Linked DNA regions of Saccharomyces cerevisiae S288C. Changing the gene in region 1 together with any one later gene gives a genetic interaction. Each region holds a gene or a part of one and is shown on either strand. Other genes may lie near its edges. The genes, in order: COQ10 and NDI1.

Region 1 (2,997 bases):
TGATGCCAACAACTCTAATACATGGTCTCAAAGCAATGAGAGTGCTATATATGATTCCTTGTCCAGTACTCCAAGGGAACCTGGTGCTACCCAAATACTGGGAAAGTTTACAGACAGCACTAATCCATTCAATTATACATCATACAATTTAAGTCCCGACTCTGAAGACCGCTCTACTCCAAAATCAAATGTTAGTCAGGGTAAAGTAAAGAAGTACCGTCCTCCCAGTGTTCATCTGGATCAACTGCTCGACGGTAAGGAATAATTGCGTCCCCACCTTTCTACACCTCATTTACACTAAGTGCGACTCGAAAACCTAATACTTCAATTAATGAGAGGATACGTGTAAATTCCTCGCCATCACCATGCGCTGTTTTTAGTACACCATTCTTTTTTCGCATACAGATACAAGCACTAAACTGATCGTACTTTGCCAATGAATAAAATGGTGCATCTGCGTATCAACTTGTTGATTGCGACGGAAGACCAGGAAATTTTGCAGCAAAATATATTTGTTTGTATCCTCCGCCCCTACTGGAGCTTGTTAGAAAGCTTAAATACTATAAACATAACTATACAGAAAAATCTTGTTCTATAGTCTAAAAATTTAACCATGCATACGCTTATCCTGGATGGCATGATCTTTGTTATCTGAAATTATACGGAAGATATCACGGAGAGCCTTCTTTAGAAGAAGGTTTTAGCATTGCTAATCTTACTAAATGGTATGCTCTTTTGGCAAATGCGTTCATCACCAATTCAGTCACAGTTTTCGCAAATATTAGAGAGACACTGTTATATATCCGAGATTTGAATTTAAATCTTAATAGAAGTTCTACCATGGCCGCATTTGGTCTATTTGGGTGAGGCATTATGGTCCATTTCGAAATCAAAAGGTGAAACAAATTATGAGATATTGTTTCTGCAACAACGGTATACGTATGATCAGTATCTTTACAGGTAACATTGCATATAAATTCCTCATCGTATTGTTTGAAACCAACTCGAAGCCCCGCAATGAGAGGCTTGTTATCCACAGGATTTCGTTTATCTACAAACGAATCAACACAATAAGGAATAAATTCCTTATATTGGGCAACTTCTGACACTGCAGCGTAGACTGTGCTTGGAGGGGCGTTTATGGCCTTGCGCAAAACATATCGCTGTTCCCTAATAGTGTGATTGGTACCGCTCAAACCAAAAAAATTTCTTTTAAGAGGATATCTCCCAATTGGCTTGAGCATCGCTTTCCTGAATAATATCAATGTCTGTGAGGGCCTTATTATCAAAACCATTCTCCACGGTATCTTTAGCCGTTTATTGTTTGGCTCCTTATCCTATTATTCGTTTTAAATAGTTCAGGTTTTTCAGACAACTCGATCTTTAAATTTTTCTCTAACATGAGAAAAAGCATGCCATCCTATGTAACGGTTGAAACAGATCATAAGCTGGCTTCAACTAATCCAAATGTCTTTTGATATTAATTGGAGTACATTGGAATCTGACAATAGACTGAATGATCTTATAAGAAAACATTTAAATTCATATTTACAAAATACGCAACTACCAAGCTACGTAAGTAATCTTAGGGTACTAGATTTTGATCTGGGAAAAGTTGGTCCTGCTATAACACTGAAAGAAATAACAGATCCCCTAGATGAGTTTTATGATTCAATTAGAGAGGAGGCTGATCAAGAGACGGAGGAAAATAATGACAACAAGGAGGACAGCGAACATATTTGTCCTGATCGTACTATAGCTAATCATGAAGGACCTAAAGATGATTTTGAGGCGCCTGTGGTGATGCCATCCCCCAACGATATACAATTTTTACTAGAGGTCGAGTACAAGGGTGACTTACTCGTTACGATTGGTGCCGACCTTGTGCTGAATTATCCCGTAGAAAAATTTATGACTTTGCCAGTAAAACTTTCTATCAGTGATATCGGTCTCCATTCCCTTTGCATTGTTGCATGTTTATCAAAGCAACTATTTCTTAGCTTTCTGTGTGATGTTAGTGATCCTGCACTGGATGACAACCAAACTGTTTTAGATCCTAAGGGGCCAATTCTGGCAGCTACTAAGCCATTGGAGCGAATATCCATTGTGAGAAGTATGAAGATTGAAACCGAAATAGGGGAACAATATCAGGGACAGGGCTCAGTATTAAGAAGTGTTGGAGAACTAGAACAGTTTTTGTTTACGATATTCAAAGATTTTTTAAGAAAGGAGTTAGCATGGCCAAGTTGGATTAATCTGGATTTCAACGATGGTGATGAGTAATTTAACAAAGATAGTTTGAAAATAGTGTCTACATAAAAAAACAAACATTTTTGAGCTGGAAAATTATATTTTGTCATGAAGTAATCTATTCTTAACGCGCTTTTCGCATACGCTCTTTGATGATATTTTAGATGACCCAAAAGAGTTAAAGGAAATCATCAATGATCCTCCAGTAATCTTATACTCTAGACAGTTGTCCGTGAAGTTACACCTAAATAATCATATATATATATATAACTTATATACAGTGGTCTAATATCTATTGAATAATATTAGAACATGCTATGCAATCTTTTTGCTTGTGTTTGTGAAACCAATACCCTTGATAGTAGCTATCATGTCTTCATTATCCGCCTCGTCAACTGGTTTTAAAAAGACTTCAGTATTAAAGATCTTCTTAATATCTCTCAAGAGGATTATGAATCTTTCGTCTATCTGTTCCTTATTAATTCTCAATCTGCCGATATCTTCTTTCCCGATGACCATGTAAACAATTGCTAATGGAAGCTGGTTTCTACCAACTGCTGCACTCTTTGATATTTCTTCTAATAATTGACAGGCAACTTTTTCACCAAGTTCTTCAGGTATAGAACCTGCATCACCGATATCTTCTGCAAAATAACTCCAACCTTTCTGCTTGGACTGAGCAACCAAAGTAATACCCCAGCCTGGACTCTTCCCTGAATTTTCACCTCTCCAGACATCTGCCGTTAT
Region 2 (4,301 bases), on another chromosome or scaffold:
GTCCAATATGGTGTGTTTTATAGTGTTGAAAGATATGAATATTCCACAAGAATTAGTATTGGAAAACATCAAAAAAGCCAAAGAGTTTTTCCAATGACTGAGGTGAGTAGACGAAACATTCGGCAATTGAGTGTTTGCGGGGCATAAGAATTATAAAGCTTTCGTTACGTATATACAAATGGGATTTGGCGTATAAAATAAATAGAGAAACATAAGAGGAAGAAATAAATAATCACAGATATATATATAGGACAATGGGAGGAAAAAGCTGAAGTGATCAACCAATCTTGTCGGGGTTTTTTGCTTGTGCATTAGTCAAGCATCATTTCGAAAAAAGTGGGAATATATAAATAATAAAACATCATGTGCATTTTTTTGTGCGTGTGTGTGTGTGTTAGGTTTTGTTTAGAGGGTTTTAGAAAAAAAAGGATGCAAACTCAGGAAAAAACGGTGCCTACCACCTTTTTTCCTTTTTCCAGAAAAGGGCATGTTAATTTCATCTATAATCCTTTAAAAAAGTCTCTTTTGAAAAATGCTAATTTAATCCAGTCGAAAAAGACCTTTAATCTCGATCTTGCAGATAGAATCATGGACAAGTACAAAATTCTCCATAAGTAGAAGGTCATTAAGCCACCACCGGTGTAAAATGTTCTCTTACCGGAACGTATGGTTGCAATGGCCCTTTCGGATCCCAGGTATGCTAAGGCACCTAAATCGTTGTATTTGAAAGGTTTAAAGTTGTTCTCCTCGAACAAGAGATCAATTTTATCCTTTCTTGAAGATAGATTCTTTTGGAAATTTGGTATTTGAGCCATTTTATCAAAATTCTTGGCCAAATATTCGGCCTCTTGGTGCGCTACTTGGGCGGTTGGTGGCAACCCAGCAAATGCATTGTCACCAATGGCGAAAATGTTGTTGCTGCCTTTCACCTGCAAAAAGTCATTCACTGCCAATCCTCTCTTGGACGAGTTTTGCTCAGGAATTTTCTTGAAAAGGTCAGTGATTACCGGTCTTGCCTTGTTACCCGTGGCCCAAATCAAAGTACCGTATGGAATAGTTTCTTCGGTTATTTTACCGTCTTCGTGTTTGGTCTTTGCCAACAATTGCTTTTCTTCAACTTTGGCGACAGCCGTTCTCAGATGTACTTTGATCGAAGTGTTTTCTAAATGTGATTGCGCGTATGATGAAAGCTTTTTCTCAAACATATTCAAAACGATGGGCAGAGCTTCGACCAAGTGAATTTGGACTTCTTCGGCCAATGCAGGGAGAAACTTTCTCAGGTCCTGGTGAACATAATCCTGTAGTTCACCAGCGGCCTCTACACCAGTAGGCCCACCACCAACCACGACAATGGACAGTAGTCTTCTTCTTTCGGGATCACCCTTTGGCAATAAGTTAGCCTTCTCTAGATTGGCGGCAAAAGTTCTTCTTATTTCCAAAGAGTTGGGAATTTCCTTCAGGAAATGACCGTAATCAGTGACCCCAGGAATACCAAATGTGTTAGGTTCCGCACCTACAGCACTGATTAAATAATCGTACTTAATTTCAGCAGGTTCTGCTTGATGCAGCCCTAGATGGTTTTCAGGTTGGTATAGCTGGCTAACGGCAGATAATGATTTTATGGTAACGGTATTCCTGTCGGGATTGATAGAGGTGGCTTCTGCCTCATAGTAGGTAACGTTCCCCTTTTTCTTGAGAGCAAAATTAACGATGGGCTCAATAATTGACTTTTCGTCTACTGTCCCAACTGGTGCAGAAGGTAACAAAGGCGTAAATAAGAAATAGCTTCTAGGAGAGATGATGGAAACGTTGTACTTCTTGGTGTCAATGTGCTTTAAAAACGAAATAGCTCCCCACCCCGAACCCAGTATCAGCACGTTTGGTTTGTCGCTGTGCTGAGGGTCAATGACTTTCATGGTCTTAAAAGATGTAGGACCTGCTCCGGAGTTTTCCACCCCTGTGGATCTGGTGGAAGCGAATCTGACTAGCGTATTCGTCGAGGTGAGCAACCTCTTGTTACTATACAAATTCTTCGATAGCATAGTGGTTTTTAGTTTCTTCTCTTGGGTAAACGTGTAATTCGATGATGTGATGAAACTGACACCCTACCTGAAACTCCTCAATTGGTAGTTAAAACTCCTTCCCCACTATGCCCTATACATCTTATATATACCCTGTCGACGTTGCAAATACCGGCAATAACCAAGAGCGCTAAGGGGGAGCACTCTTATTGTGGTTACCCGGACGTTCAATGCCTTCATATGATTGGTCCGAATGAATAGGTCATGAGAAAATGCATATTTTTGAGGCATTTCAGCAATGATCGGCAATCTGCACATATTCGTATTGTTTCCCTGAGTAAGTTATTTGCGGAAAGAGACATTCTATTGCTTTGGAGTATTTTGTGGTCTTCGACAATAAAGCGAAGGAATAATAGGTTCGTTGCTAGCGACAAGCAACACATAGTTGTAGTGATGCTATAGCAAAGAAAGGTCACAGATTCATTATTGACCTTTTAAATGGTGCCCAGTGGCAATTGCCGTTTTAGCATTCTTTAAATGCGTAGTATATGAGTTTTAAAGTGCTTTGTTGTTCACGTGCTTTTCACGTGTATGATTACTTAACCGGGTAGCGCCGGTCTTTAATATGCTTTCCAGATTAGGAAAGAACATAAATAAAAACACAAAATAAGAAAGTGTCAATCATCCGCATTGAAAGAAAGAAAAGATTTTTTTATCCCTCAATTGTACATGAAAACAGAGACCTTTCAAAACGTATTTTAACATTCTTTTACTCTTTTCTTGCACCTGCAGCCTTAGGTCAGTAAGAAAAAAAGTAGGTAGCAATGAGCCCAAGTCCATCAGTGTCGCCAAGAAGGACGCTCAATAACAAATCATCTTACATCAATAACAGCGGTGGGCTGGTCCTGCCTCCTACGCAGTTTAATTTGAATCAGCAGCCAGTCCTGAGCTTCCAACAAAAAGCGACTTTCGATTCCAACCAGCAGTTTTTCTATTATCCAGAGTCACCCACAAAAAACCTGAGACCAAGGTTTAACAGTATTTCGCAGGTTAATAAAGGAGTTAATGAAGACCATTATACCGGGGGCGGTAGCAGTAATAATAACAGGCCATCTAGATATACAAATACCATGGGCGCTGCAAACACCAATGTAAATTCCCATCCGCATCATCAGTCGGTGTCGCATTTAAATTCTAAATCTCTTAAATTCAATCAAACGAAGGAAGTGAGCAGCATAAATGAAATTATTTTTCCTTCCAGAACGTGTACAAAGAAACGGTATTTTACCAAGCCAATTGATTTGTATGGTACAAGAAGTAGCACTAGTGTGGCACCTAAGTTGACGAATTCTCCCACGAAATCAAAAACAAATTTCAACATCAAGAAGTGCATCTTACCTAGGTCCGTCGTTACCACATATAAATTACCATCTCCAGTGCACGAAACGATAGACGATATATCCAAAAAAATCATAATCCTGCTAATTTCGTTGAAGTTTGAGAAAAACTATCACTTCTTGCAACCTATTCAATTGTCCACAAATAGTAAGACACGGATCTCAAAATCACTAGACGAATTATGCGGAGTGCAGCTGACATCAACGTTACGGCAACAAAAGCAGCTGCAAGGTAACAGCAAGCCCGTAAAGAATCTCCCTAATTCCAATGCGAAGCAGAGAGCCGGGGCCAGTGTTTCCACAAATGCCAACGAAAGCTTTGAATTGAGTTTTGATGGAAAGGCAATGGATAGATCTGATATATTTCGAATGGTAGATTCTTTTAGCATCGCCATTTCAGATGAAGATGAGGAAGATGAGGAGGAGGATAGCTTTCAGCAGAGAAGTGCGAACAACAGAATCCTCCCTGCGGAGATACTAAGTAATGAACCTTTGAAATGATACGGATTCTCTGTATTCTGTCTATAGTATTTATATACCAATACATTTTTCCGCACTTTGAAGTTTTGCATTTTACTTAATGTAGTTTATTATTAGTTGCCAAAACGAAACATTTAACATGTGAATTAAAAATACAAAAAAAAGCCTATTAACGATCTAAATTTATGACAAAAGACATATAATTATTTTAATGATGCCTTTGTCACAACCGAACACAATATCTTTGAAAAGTGATCCAGCAATCGAATTCAGAATTCGTTGTGCCATTTTTGCCTTACGTTTGCGCCATTGTAATTTCTCTGTGCCGTCTTCTCTTCACTTTATTTCAATATTATCATGCAGTAAACAAGTTGCAGAATAATAAATAATATACGTACCAAAT

Evidence for each region.
Region 2: of COQ10 (region 1) and NDI1, changing one suppresses a phenotype caused by changing the other (phenotypic suppression), as found in Saccharomyces cerevisiae (one study listed by BioGRID).

The regions. Positions count from the first base shown.
Region 1 is NC_001147.6:308,610-311,606, reverse strand, and holds COQ10 (ubiquinone-binding protein COQ10), read right to left. Parts: upstream 1,296-2,997; coding exon 672-1,295; downstream 1-671. Other genes in the region: CSI2 (Csi2p), read left to right, coding at 1-265; ERMES complex subunit MDM12, read left to right, coding at 1,468-2,283; RCL1 (rRNA-processing endoribonuclease), read right to left, coding at 2,566-2,997. UniProt on the Saccharomyces cerevisiae protein: Required for the function of coenzyme Q in the respiratory chain. May serve as a chaperone or may be involved in the transport of Q6 from its site of synthesis to the catalytic sites of the respiratory complexes.
Region 2 is NC_001145.3:27,766-32,066, forward strand, and holds NDI1 (NADH-ubiquinone reductase (H(+)-translocating) NDI1), read right to left. Parts: upstream 2,043-4,301; coding exon 501-2,042; downstream 1-500. Other genes in the region: Rag GTPase GTR1, read left to right, coding at 1-97; YML119W (uncharacterized protein), read left to right, coding at 2,846-3,919.